Oryzias latipes: one gene and its partners. Each later gene encodes a partner of the first gene's protein in a complex. Links are inferred from orthologs where the notes say so. Each region holds a gene or a part of one and is shown on either strand. Other genes may lie near its edges. The genes, in order: mapkap1, rictor and mlst8.

Region 1 (4,331 bases):
TGTAAAAGGCCCTGTAAAAAGGAAAACAACCAGAAAAACGATCAGACAGACAACTAGAACATATTTGTTTTGTTTTGAAAAATGTTTGTGAATATAGATTTTCTTTTTGTTTAGAACTATGAAATGCGTGGGTCAATCCAACTCATTGACTGAATATGAGAACTGGACAGAGTAAGTGTGACGTCACTCACAGAAAATTGGCTTACTTCTGGTTCCAACCAATTGAAGTAACTTCAGTCACCATTTTTTGCAATGTGGACGTCGCCAGGTTGGGAGTCAGACAATGTTAGCAAGGAGTGATTGGTCTAAGACAATCAGAGTCAACATTGTTATGGCAACCACTCTCACAAATCCAGAGAGAGCTTGTTGAAAGGCCACACCCCTACCACTTAAAGCGGACTGCACAAAATCTGTTAATCAATCTTTGAACATGAGGCCACACGCTTTTATTGAGACCCATGATTGGTCAGTTTATAACATGATTAGCTTGTACTAAAGAAAAAATATTATTAGAAAAAATAGGATTATCAAGAACATGTTCAAAAAAGGTATCGGAGCAAGAATGGTTATTCTGACCAACAGAATGACTGATTAACAGCTGTTTATTTCTATATAGAAGTCTATAGGATTTTGGCTTCTTGGGGCCAGCGCGTACTTCCTGTTAGGAACACCAGGGGGAGGGGTCGGCAAGTCCAGTTCTCTTATACAGTCAATTGCCAAAATGTATTTGAACCATGTTTTTTTGGTTATTTTCAATATTGATGTTGAAGTCCCGCTCCTATCATCTTTTGATCTATTGCAAAAAGCATTCTCAGAAGTCTTTCTTTATGTTTATGCTGTTTTATGTGTAGTTTTCTATGGCATGGTTTCTGCAGAGCAGCAGGAGTTCATTAGAGATTCTCTGAGTTGACCAGTGGCACATAGCTAGCCCACCACCACTTCCCGTCACCAATCTGTTTACAGTCTCTCCAACTAGCTTAGAGCCTCTAACAACGCCAACCTAAAGGCCCGTTCACACCGGGACGAATTTCGCTGGCGATTTTCGCCGACGTTTAACGCCTCGTGACTAAACAAAGGGCACCAATGGGAGTGTGCACACCGACGCGAAAAAACGCCAGGCGTCAAAGCGTCAAAAAAAAAAACGCCTCGGGTTCGTTTTTTTTTTTTCGACGCGTCGCGTCGAAATCTATTCGACCAATGAGAATGGCGCTTTTGCACACATGTCTGGAGCTTCTGAAGTTACAGTAAAACACAACTTGGGGGCGCTCAAACACAAAACTGCCTTGCTGAGCACACATACCAGCGAAGAAGATAGACGCCAAGTAGCGTCTACACTGCTGCGAAGAAATAATGACGGACATTCTAAAATATCCCCGAACCAAGCACCAGTTGGAGCAACTGGTGCTTGAAATATTCATGTTTTCTTTGTTTGATTCTGACAAGCGCGTAAATACTTGCTCTCTTCTTCTGAGTGAAAAGCGACTTTAATAAGCGTAAAGTTGCGCAGCGCCACCTTGTGTACAGGAGTATTTCTGTTTACATTAAGCGCCATCTAATGTCAGGGAAGGAAATTGCATGTTCGCTCGGCTCATCGTCAGTGGAAATCGCCTGGGTGTGAACACAAAAAACGTGGCGAAAAACGCTGGCGAATAACGCCTGGCGAATATTCGTCCCGGTGTGTACGGGCCTTAACATGAGCACTGCGATAAAAATGGTGAGCAATATTGGCGCTGTCCAGCCATACAGTTTTGATCCAGATTCCAGCTCAGACAGGGAAAACAAAGATGTACATGGAACAAGTTGTCCATGAGTGGATGCATTAGAATGAGGAGGGGCAGGAAGCTTGTGGCTTTCTGCAGTAGCTTCAGTTACAACAAGCTTTTTCTAACAGCATTTCTTTGTCTGCTCCTGATTCACAACTACGTGAACACAGAAATACTCAGAAATACAGTTTTGAGCCTAATTTTCTTTATATATGTCCTCTATCATCAGACAAATGCCAGTGTTTTTTAGTGTTTGGGCACAACGCTAACTTTTTTTTTTTTGAAGAATCAGAAGTCGTGTCACATCTGAAAACACGAAGTTTGTTCACAGTGTTTAGTCTAAACACGGATGTTGACAGCTACAACAGGCAGATGACGGCGCTGAGCGCATGGGCAGCTGAGAAGAACACTTCACCATCAAGAAAACGGATTATGAGCACAGAAATCACTGTGATGACGTAACAGTTCCCACTGTAACAGCTGTAAATGATGTCTGACGGTCATTTCAGCTGAGGACACAGTCTTATCTGGGGAAAGTTCTCACAGGAAAAACACGCTCGTGTAAAACACACGACACAACTGAAACAAACACCACATGTCAGTAAATACAAATTTGTGTCGGAGTTTATCATTTTAAGAAGGTAGAAGTTAAACAATCGGATTAAAAAGTTCTGTGTACATTTATCAGATCATCATCATGTTTTGCGTTAGCAGCACCTTGTTTTCCTAACCAAAATGGCTCACTTAAACCAGCTGAATTACAACAAAATCCATTTCAGCTGCTCCAAAAAGTAGCAGGAGGATCTACAGACTGAAGTGATTCATACTTTATAAGCGTGTAACATGACAGGAACAGCTTACAGATCGCATTACAGTCGGTTAGCGGTGACTAAACTCAAGCTAACGATTATCTCTCCCGAGTCAGTTAGCAATAGCAGTGGTATGAACAGAAAGAAGATCCCACCTCTACGTTTTTCTGACGAGACACAGCAGAGTCCACGTCCCTCCATCTCATCCAGTCTACTTATTTGGCCGACGAGTCGTTACATCCGTGAAAAACAATTCAATGCATTAAAGTCTCAAAACAACCGAAAGCCAATGCAATCTGCTGCGCTCGTGCAACCAGGAAGACATCCTTTTGACTTCCGGTGTAATCTCTTCACAATAAAAGAGCCACCAAACGAAAAACACGCACAAGAGCAGTTCACTGACCGAGGCAGTGAAAGTAAAGGAACACTGAATTATATGCACCTTTATTCCTTACTAGTATTTCAGCGTTTACAAAATGTTGTGCACACATCCAAATGCACTTCACACTAGAAAGTGAAAAAATAAAGAAAAGTTAAAAAAGAGAGAGAGATGCCAGAGCAAGATAAAATTATGCTTTTGCAAGTTCAAAGTATCATCACATGAAATAGAAATGTGGCTGCAAAATCGTGCGATCATGAGTAAAAAGAATTATCGCAGCAAAAATTTGCAAGAACCTTTTCTATTTACATGGATATTTTTGAGATCTTCAAAGTTCTTCCATCTTTCCATTACACTTGTGGAACCTGTCAACAGATTTCCATCTCTCTCTTTAAAGACCCACTCTGGTGAAATTCTTATTTTTTGCCACAAGAACATGTTTTTGACATGTTCATGTTCTCATTTTTCTGATGATAGAGGACATCCATAATGAAAATTCAGCTTAAAATGGCATTTCTGAGTGTTTATTTATTCAAATTGTTTGGAATCAGGAGCAGTTTGAAGAAGACCACCCTCTACCACTACCCTTTTTCTTTTTATGTATCTTTGCCTGTGTGTCCTTCCATATACATAAATACTTACATTTTTTTGACTTGTAGTTGTTTTATTTTTTTATTCCTGTAGTTATTTGTGGATTTTTGTGGCCCATCACATTTAGGGGGCAGTCACTGTATTTAGGGGGGCATTGCCCCCCACTGCCTGTGCCTTTATCCAATCTTACAGTAAAAAAATTGGATCTACTGGTATTTGTCTGGATATATATATACACAAACATAAAAGTATATTTATGTAACCACATTGCAAACATTACCTAACAGAACTTTTTCGTCTGCTCCTGATTCACAACAATTTGAATAAAGAAATACAAAAAAATGCAGTTTTGAGCTAAATGTTCTCTATACATTTCCTCAATCATCAGAGAAATGTTAAAAGAACACGTTAAAACCAAACACAATTATCATTGGCTTGAACCTTTTCAGCCCCACAGTATGGTTTGCTTTGAGGATGCAAAAATGCTTTCTCCACAATCCGCTTTAATGATGAAACCACGTGGTAAAATGAGTTTTAAAGCATCCCTATTCTGCGCTGTGTTTTGTTCCTGAATTTCTTTTTCCTCATTTGTCTGCGTCCCCCTTATAAACCATAGAACAAATGAATCGGAGCCTGTAAAGTGGAAGGTTTTCTGCGAGGCGTCCACTGAAGAGCATCGTAGCAGTCGGTGGGAGGGGGCGGAGCTATCTGCGGTCAGCAGCGGATCTCGCTGTGGGCCCTCGCTCTGGGTTTAGCTACACGAAACCGGAAACACACCATGTAAATATT
Region 2 (4,118 bases), on another chromosome or scaffold:
ATAGCCAGCAGGTTATTCTAGTTGAATAGAAGCTTATGATGCATTTCTATCCCCAGAGCTTTTTTTTTTTTTTAATCTAAACTGTGGTATAAACCTCAGCAGGTCAGCAGCTACATTTCAGAGGAAGAGTAGTTGATCAGTCATTCAATATATCTACAGTCATCTTCCTTAAAAAGCTGCATGTGGAGCAAAAAAATGCTGCAGCATTCTTACCTTTATGAAGTTGTTCAGGTGGCCCAGTTTTCGCATGTTGCTAACTCCGTGTGGTTTAGCCACATTTTGAAGAATTTCCCGGAAGTTTTCTGATGGTTCTAGAGGGAAACAAAAAGACCATTTCAGTGGACAAAATAGCTCTGTGGTTACAGGAGAAAAGGAAAGGGCTATCAATTAGTTTACTAGTTTTACGTTTATGCAGTCAAAACTAGACCTTTATAGCAAAAAGCAAAGTCGAGCAAGTTAGACTTTGCTTTCCAACAATTCATCTAATGTTAATTATTTGATAAAATATTAAAACACTTGCGAGGTTATTTCATATGTAGACATCTAATATCTGTAGAAACTAATGTCAGATATACCAATCAATGAAGAAATCCATTTCACAAACACGTAAATAGACCATCCTAATCCCAGATTATGTTTTAAATTGTCTTATATTATCTCTCCATAAAAAAAACTGATATTTTAACAAGATTTAGAACTTCAAATACAAAGGGGGAAAAATCCGTACAGCTACAAAACAAAACAATAGAATACCACGAAAATGGTTTAACTGAGGTTGACATTTAAGAAGATTTCCTATATGATGCTAAGATAAAAGTATCAAAAGCAAAAAGGCAAACAAGCACTGGTGTATAAATATACCTTAAACTTTAGCTTCTTATCCGTGAAGCAAAAATCGATCAATCGTTTAAGAAACAGTGGTGTTATTGCATTATAAACGTTCCTGGGGGGTAATCCAGGAAGCATGTTTAAACTACCCTGACTTTAACCCTGAACTCTGGCTGAAATCTCAAATTTACATATTTTTCTAACTAAATGTCATATTACTCCAATTCAATTAAATGTCTTTCCATCTTAATTTATTGTATTTCTTGAACTCTCATATGTCTACATTTGAGCCTGTAGATATTCTCATTTTTATAACATTAAAATGAATGAAACAATATAGATTCACAACACAAAACTTAAAGTCATTTATCCTTTCTCTGACTTTGACATTACAACACTGAGCAGTAGGGGTGCTAAATAACCTCATCATTCTCTCCCTCCCTCTCACTCATGGTGCAGAAAGAATTAAACACAACAGGACAAATAACTCGGAAATACACAGTAAAACAGATAAACAACTAAACACATTTGGTCAAAAACCCACACTTAAACCCAAATCCGTCCAGACAGGCAAAGGGAATGGTATCCCACAATTCCTTGCAGCGCCGATCTAACAGCAGCACCAAAGTTACACCTACTTAATTGAATTAATTTGAATTAAAGTAAAATAACTGTCTGATAACTTAGTGTTCTTTTTAAGCTCATGTAACAAAAAGAATGTATCTTAACTGAAGCAAATAATTAAGTTAGATTAATGTAAAAAAGTTCATCTTTCCAACATCCATACGTGGTCTTATCACCCTCTCATGGTGGAAAAAGTATTATCTGAGCTTCTTCATCCACTAAATCATCTTCAAATGGACACTGCATGCTCCTTCACCTCTCTGAAACCAACTAACCTTCAACTAAACCTGCTCCAGACCAGGTTATGTTCAGAGCATGAGTTGCTATAGCAACTTCACATACCCTGAAACATACCACTGTTTTTGGAACCAAAAGCTGAGGCTATCCGCTTCCTTAGCCTCAAACTTATCGTGGTAAATAGCATAACCTACTTTCTGGAATACCCCCCATCAATGGTTGAGTTTGTTCCAGTAAGATACGTTTTATATAAAAACCTAAGCTGACAAAAAACACAAACTATGTTCGTAATCGTTTTCCTAATTTAGGACCGAAATGTTTCCATCAGAACTCGTTGATCGTGCTTTTATCGTGAGTCAAGTGTGCCTAGCAGCCGCAAAAGGTTCCAAACAAAGAAAACAGCCGCTGGTTGGTGTAAACAAACAAGCAGACAGTGCTGTTGCTAGATGAGCAAATTTAACTCGGCTGAGCTGTGAATAAAAAAAAAAAAGCCCGTATGTGCATTGCTCAGCAAACCGGCTTAAGCTCAGGGTTTCTGACAGCCAGCGGAGCCTCGTGTATTAATGCAACTCTAATGGCTGTCTCGCTAAATAGCAGGCTCTGCAGCCCACTCACGCCTACCAAAACAACAGCGCATCGTCATGACTGGTTAGCTGTGGCAGCCAGCTAACGCTAAATCAGCTAGCTAGTTAGCTCCCTCTCGCCTGTTTATAGCCACAAAGGAAGATTTTTGAACAAAACAACAACAAATAAAACGTTTAATTAAAAATGCATCCACGTGGCAATCTCGTGGTTCATTTAGAGGTTCGTATATTTTGTGCATAAAGTCAACCATAATCCATTTTGAGCAATAATAGCTTTTAGAATGATGAGCCTCTGCTTACCTCTACTCAGATCCAGCGGTACGTTCTCCTCCCCGCTGTCATTCCGCCCTGACAAAAACAAACGCAACGGAAACGCTGAAGGACAAATTCAATGCTATGTTTTGTGGGAGACGTGCTCTTATTGCAATACGCTGCCATTCCAACAAATTATGAGCTGAGTTTTTCACGCTTACCTCGCATCCGAAGACTCCGGATAGGACGGCCGCGGAAGCTGGCCGCCATGTTTCCAGGAACATACACAACACCGGAAACTTCGCGGAATGTCGCGAGAACACGGACATCAAACGCAAATCGCTGCGGTGCAAATCACAGATCTGGGATCAGGCGAATCCCAGTTAATCCCTTAACCTCCAACGGCAATGAAAAAATAATCTGACCTGGCGACTGAACGACAGAAATAAACAGTTTAGTTAGCAGCAGTATTCGAGTTTTAATTGCAAATGTAATATTTATTTATTAATATTTTTCAGCATGACCAATTTGCTAAATTTGTTTTTATAAAAACAAATCTTAGTTTTTTTGTTTGAGTTTGTGTCATGGTTCATGTTTTCATGTATGATTGGGATTTAGTGACAGGAATAATTTGTGCAAAATGTTTTGTAATATGGTTTAAACGTATGTTTTTATCCTAACTTTAGGGAAATATTTAAGTTGAAAACAAAAAATAATATGTTCTAACTTGATTTAAGGCAAGTTGTGTTATGTTAAAGTTATTGTTACAAATAGGAAATATTCAAAGAATAAATAACAATAATAAGTACAACACAAGTAGTGCACATAATGGACCTGCTTAGAGGATTTGGACATCACTGCAGCTCCTTTTTCTGCACACATATCAGCAAAAACATAATTCTTTCATCTTCTCAGAGACTATTTTTGTTCAAACCCAAAGGGATTTTTGTTGCATTAGCCTGCTTAAATGATTTTGCAATTACAGAAAGACCTTGACCTACTTTTTCATTCCAACCTCATGAGTCTTGATCATGAGTCTTGATGTCTGTCGCTGTATAGTTTATGACAGCTGGTCCCACAGAGCTTGTTACTTGAGTTCATAGAAGTGTACTCTAAACGATGAACAATACATGAATTATTTTTAGCTTCTCTCTTGAGTAAAAAACGTGTTTGTTTTTACTAACGTTGTGATACCAAAGACTTCTTTCATGCAAAAAATTCAAGACGTGTAAATTACAGAATAACTGGTTCATTAAAAAACAGAGGTACCAAAAGTAAAAGACGAATGTTTCAACATTTTCAGTTGTTATATTATCATTTTTTTTTAAAAGCTGCAAGAAAACTCAGGTTGCTATGACCACATTAACCACTAGATGGCGCTAATGCTTTACGAACACAAACCAAGACAGAAAAAAGATGGCCACTTAACCGGATAATGATAAATCATGTTATAAAATGGTTACGGTAGAACAGGGGTGGGTTTATATAAGTTCGCTTCCTTCCACTCCCTTTCAAGCAATATTTATTTATATGATTAATTATCCAAAGTTTGATTAGTTGTGGTACGAATCTATAACTGATGATTGTATTGTT
Region 3 (4,176 bases), on another chromosome or scaffold:
AAGGAAGTTTTTTTAATTATTATGGGATGGCCACAGGTGCCACGGCTTGGTGGTCACTGTGTGGCAGAGAGTGACGTTTGGTGATTTTCACATTCGTCTACAATTTATTCTACAATTTACAATTCAAAAGTCTTCAACAAGAGCTGAAGTTTCATTGACCTTTGACCTCGGGAAGAAGCTGCCATCTTGAATTTTGTAAAAAAATACATATTTATCCCGTTTAGTCCCAGCTACAAATTTAAACTCCTCCTAAGAATCGCCTCCTGACTCCTGGAGCGGTGTCCTTGGGAAACTAATTGGAATTTTGGAAATAAAGTTTGTGGATTTTGAACGGCGAGTTCACAAAAGTGGCGATTTCCTGTTGTGGGCGCATTTTTTACCGGAATATTGAGAAAATGGAGCGCACCTCTGCTCAAGCTGAACCAAACGATATGACAAACAATATGAACATATAAGAAATGTGGGTGTGGTTAACAAAAATCCTACGTTGCTAAGGAAATCCAAAAATCTACTTTTGCAGATTCTTCTAAAAATGACCGAAACCTGTTCGTCACCCCGCGGTGACCAAAAACTGAAATGGTTGCCATGGAGATAAAACCATCAGAAAAGCCGCACTTTTGAATAAAAGTGTTCTCTTTCATGAATTTGTGACCAGACTGGCAGAAGGGGAGGGTGAAGGCGGTTCAAAAGGGGGCAGTGTCCTCTGCAGGTCATGCAACGCCGTTTACGGCTTTAATTTTATATTAAAGTTTGCTAAAACATGCCATTTTTAACTTTAAAAACTCAGCGGGACAAGGGGACAGACCCAAAGGTGAAGGTACGCACCTGTAACGATGTACTGCGAGTCTCCGGAGAAGGCGCAGTCCCACATCCAGCCTCGGGACGTCTCCCCGGGGTTGTTGCTTTTGATGCTCAGCTCCGTCATCAGGGAGAAGTTGGACGTCCTCCAGATCTTGCAGGTCTGATCCGCTGAGCAGGTGGCCAGTAGTCTGGAGACATTCAAGGAGAAACATCAATGAGGTTTTTTTTCTGTTTGGCCTCACGTCAGGCAGAAACAACAAAAAGCCTCACGTGGAGTCGGGGCTGAACTTGCAGCGCAGCGAGTATCGTTTGTGCGCCGGGATCTTCGTCTTTGGAATGAGCTGCGTCACTTCGTCTCCCATCCCTCCAGCCAGGTTCCACACGTAACAGTTTCCCTGTTGGGGGGGGGAACAGGAACCTCACTCTAGTTTCTCTCCAACCCCAGTTTTTGCGTCCCATGTTCAGTTTGGGGACGCACCGAGCTGTTGACGGCTGCCATGTAGCTGGCATCGGGGTCGATGTGGACAGAGTTCACCGAGACTTCTGGCTCTGGAATCAGCTGTTCGTTGTGGTCCGTTTTCAGGTCCCAGATGTGAATCACGCCACTCTGATCCCCAACAATCAGCTCCGCCTAAAAGAAAAATCACAAAACGCTGACAAATCTACAGATAAATCCACATCAAACACCTGTGCAGCTTTGAGGATACCTGATTGGGATGAAGACACACACAGTTGATGGGAGCGTTTACTTGGAAGATCCTCTGACACTGCAGGTTTCTTGACCTGAAAGGAGGAGGGTTGATAACAGCAGAGTGGATTTCTGCCGGGGTGTGCGGTGGAGGTGAACCGCCGTACCTTAGGTCCCATATGCGAGCCATGCAGTCCTCTCCTCCGGTGTACATCCAGCGTCCGTCCTCATGGAAGCCCACGGAGGTGATGTTCTTGCTGACTCCGTCGTAGTTGATGACGGGGTTTGGGTTGTTGGAGTTCAGGTCGTACATGCGGATGTGCTGATACCCTGCAGGAGGAAGAGGAGGAACGCGCAGTGAAACGCCGCGCAGCCTTCAAATGGGAGAGTTTGGACTGACCTGCGGCGGCGATCATGCTTCTGTCCGGGGTCACTTCAAGGGAATTCACTTGCTGAAATGACGAGTTAAAGGCCCACTCCGAAAGTCGCGTTTTTGAGGTATTTAGCATATATATGCCTTTTATAGCATTTTTCTACAACAAAATACATATTATGTATGAGAATAATGCTGTAAAATATTAAGCCTATTGCATTTAATTAACAGTTGATGGTTTTATTTTTAGTGTGTGTGGTGAATCAAACAAAAACAAAACAAAAACGGATTATGTCAAACAAGTTAGAGCAAAGGTCACCTGTATTTTATTTTTATTTAACATAATACCGTTCCGTAGTAAAATTATTATTAAAAAGTAAAAAAAAATTACACTAATAAATTTGTAAAAGTATAAACAACAATAAAAATGTAAAATTTTACGAGACTAAAGTCATAATTTTGTTTTTCAATTCAGTAAAGCTCCGAAATTGGGGGCCATTTCGTCAGGTTGGGGTGTGAGCGGCTGTAAGCCAGCGGTAGCGCATGTAAACAGAGAGCTCTCACCGAACCGTTCTAACCAGGGAAAGGATACCGAGTCCTGATGCTGCACCGTCCGGGTACAGATCCCGCTGTGGGCCTGCCAGAACCGGACTGTGTGATCGTATCCAGCCGTGGCCAGGATAACCGGGTCGCTGCCCACCGTGCCCTGGTTGACATTCATGCTTCTCCGCTAGTGTGTCACGGTTACAAACAACACCAGAACCCGTCAGTCCACTTAGTTACATCTGACGAACTCGGTCCAAACGATCGGCCAACGACGTCAGCTCAAGCTTTTTGAAGTTAACTCTTTTAAAGAAAAGCCGTTTTAAAAATATCTGAATGTGAGAAAACATCTAAAAATCTGATAAGAATTCGCTTTACAGATTTCCTGAAGCCATCATTCGCGACTGCGGTACGTCTGACTAACGCGTCCCCGATAAACACAGAAGTGTGTCAAACGTTCCGCTTTGAAAAAAAAATTGTTTAAATGCAGGAATGCAACGATGTAAAATAATAATAATAAAAAATAAATCATAATAGAGGTAGAATCATAAAATCGCCTTTTCCCACACTCTTTCAGGTAATTAATCAACTTTTATTTGGCAATCATTACAATAAATGTGCAAATATGTCTCCTTATGATTCAGAGTAATATGTCAAAAAATATTTAAACATATTGTTTTATTTCTTTTTAATCATTTTTATGAATTCAAAATTTTAATACATATTTTTCTTTTTTTATGGTTAAAATTGCTTTAAATAAAGCATTTATTGTCGCTACATAAAATCTACATCATTCTTTTTATTTTAAATATACTTTTTTTTATAACAGTTGCTTTTGTTTTTTTTTTCTTTTTTAATTGTATTTTGTGATAATAAATCAGAATTTTTTTTCAAAACACAACTTTATTAAACAGGAACAATTTAACGCCTTTTTTTAAATAAATCAATTTATATCAATAAGTTAAATAAATAAGAATAAATAAATAAATAACAGTTGAAGCATCTGTTTACATTGTAATTAGCGCAGAACAAATGTAAATAGAACAGACTTCGCATTGCTGGTTCAAAGCTGCTGCAGAACAGCCGACATATGCTGCTTCACCTCTCCTGGGTCGGCCGGAGAGCAGGCCAGGATCACCCCCCTGATGCCGCTTTTCGTTCTCGCAGAGGGAAGGATCTGCGGCAGACGATCTCATGAACAATAAAAACACATCACAAAGACAAAAAAAAAAAAAACATGCCTTTTGAAGGCTGGAATACCTTCAGGTATATTTTGCATCTTTCCAGAAGAAACTTCCACTTGAGAGCGGTGCGCTGATCATCGGTCAGACGGATGAACTCGTCCGTCTGGAAGCAGGCAGCAGCATATTTAAGAGAAGTCTGTGGATCTCAGCAGTTTGGAGCTGACCCCCCCCCTCAGCCTCTGAGGAGTTACCGACCGAGCAGCCGAGCGTCTGCTCCGCCGTGGCGCCCCGGAGGCTGCAGGCCTGCAGCGTGCCGGTGTGGTCGGTCAGGTCCACCAGCAGGTCGAAGCCTGTGGTGCCTGAGAACGGCTGCTCCCCGCCCGGACACAGCTGGTTACCGCAGCTCTGCATGTCCGCCGTCAGCAGGAACCTACATTTAGAGCTGAAAAAAGCCCAAATCGAAGCACGGACAGATGGAAGGAAAGAAGGAGGCCGTGACTTTGGTGCGATCGTACCAGCGGGTCTTGATGACTTTAGAGGCAGAGGAGTCCAGGTCCAGCTTGGAGATGAAGCTGTAAGTCAGGCCG

The links.
Region 2: the proteins of mapkap1 (region 1) and rictor are in contact, whole or in part, in a cryo-EM structure (PDB 7PE7), measured with the Homo sapiens proteins. The link is inferred for Oryzias latipes from reciprocal best matches to the Homo sapiens genes MAPKAP1 and RICTOR. Residues at the interface, in NP_001006618.1 of Homo sapiens: Ala2, Phe3, Leu4, Asp5, Asn6, Pro7, Ile9, Ile10, Leu11, Ala12, His13, Ile14, Arg15, Gln16, Ser17, His18, Thr20, Ser21, Asp22, Asp23, Thr24, Met26, Cys27, Met29, Val30, Leu31, Ile32, Asp35, Val36, Ser84; in NP_689969.2 of Homo sapiens: Arg108, Gln137, Glu140, Thr144, Leu147, Arg148, Arg151, Lys152, Thr155, Arg182, Met183, Arg185, Ala186, Ala189, Cys192, Glu193, Leu196, Leu220, Arg222, Ile223, Glu225, Ala226, Leu227, Thr229, Thr230, His233, Asn236, Arg293, Trp295, Glu844.
Region 3: the proteins of mapkap1 (region 1) and mlst8 are in contact, whole or in part, in a cryo-EM structure (PDB 7PE8), measured with the Homo sapiens proteins. The link is inferred for Oryzias latipes from reciprocal best matches to the Homo sapiens genes MAPKAP1 and MLST8. Residues at the interface, in NP_001006618.1 of Homo sapiens: Lys102, Cys103, Lys104, Asn105, Ile106, Gln107, Trp108, Lys109, Arg111, Asn112, Ser113, Lys121, Leu123, Phe124, Glu125, Lys126, Lys127, Ser128, Leu129, Gly137, Lys138, Gln139, Ser140, Ile141, Leu142, Val144, Arg145, Leu146; in NP_001186102.1 of Homo sapiens: Ala29, His30, Pro77, Ile78, Ile79, Ser80, Tyr81, Asp82, Gly83, Arg98, Arg110, Ile111, Trp112, Gln120, Cys121, Gln122, Arg123, Ile124, Asn139, Gln140, Ala141, Leu157, Lys158, Ile203, Glu206, Ser279, Gly280, Asp281, Gln283, Asp322.

Annotation. Positions count from the first base shown.
Region 1 is NC_019870.2:25,040,459-25,044,789, reverse strand, and holds the start of mapkap1 (target of rapamycin complex 2 subunit MAPKAP1), read right to left. Parts: upstream 2,914-4,331; 5' UTR 2,728-2,913; intron 12-2,727; 5' UTR 1-11. UniProt on the Homo sapiens protein: Component of the mechanistic target of rapamycin complex 2 (mTORC2), which transduces signals from growth factors to pathways involved in proliferation, cytoskeletal organization, lipogenesis and anabolic output.
Region 2 is NC_019867.2:18,765,688-18,769,805, forward strand, and holds the start of rictor (rapamycin-insensitive companion of mTOR), read right to left. Parts: upstream 2,814-4,118; 5' UTR 2,796-2,813; coding exon 2,747-2,795; intron 2,622-2,746; coding exon 2,574-2,621; intron 312-2,573; coding exon 214-311; intron 1-213. UniProt on the Homo sapiens protein: Component of the mechanistic target of rapamycin complex 2 (mTORC2), which transduces signals from growth factors to pathways involved in proliferation, cytoskeletal organization, lipogenesis and anabolic output.
Region 3 is NC_019877.2:3,131,040-3,135,215, forward strand, and holds the start of mlst8 (target of rapamycin complex subunit LST8), read right to left. Parts: upstream 2,833-4,176; 5' UTR 2,584-2,832; coding exon 2,455-2,583; intron 1,942-2,454; coding exon 1,890-1,941; intron 1,820-1,889; coding exon 1,657-1,819; intron 1,585-1,656; coding exon 1,509-1,584; intron 1,433-1,508; coding exon 1,280-1,432; intron 1,197-1,279; coding exon 1,072-1,196; intron 990-1,071; coding exon 826-989; intron 1-825. Other genes in the region: meiob (meiosis-specific with OB domain-containing protein), read right to left, coding at 3,469-3,582, 3,666-3,752, 3,845-4,031, 4,105-4,176.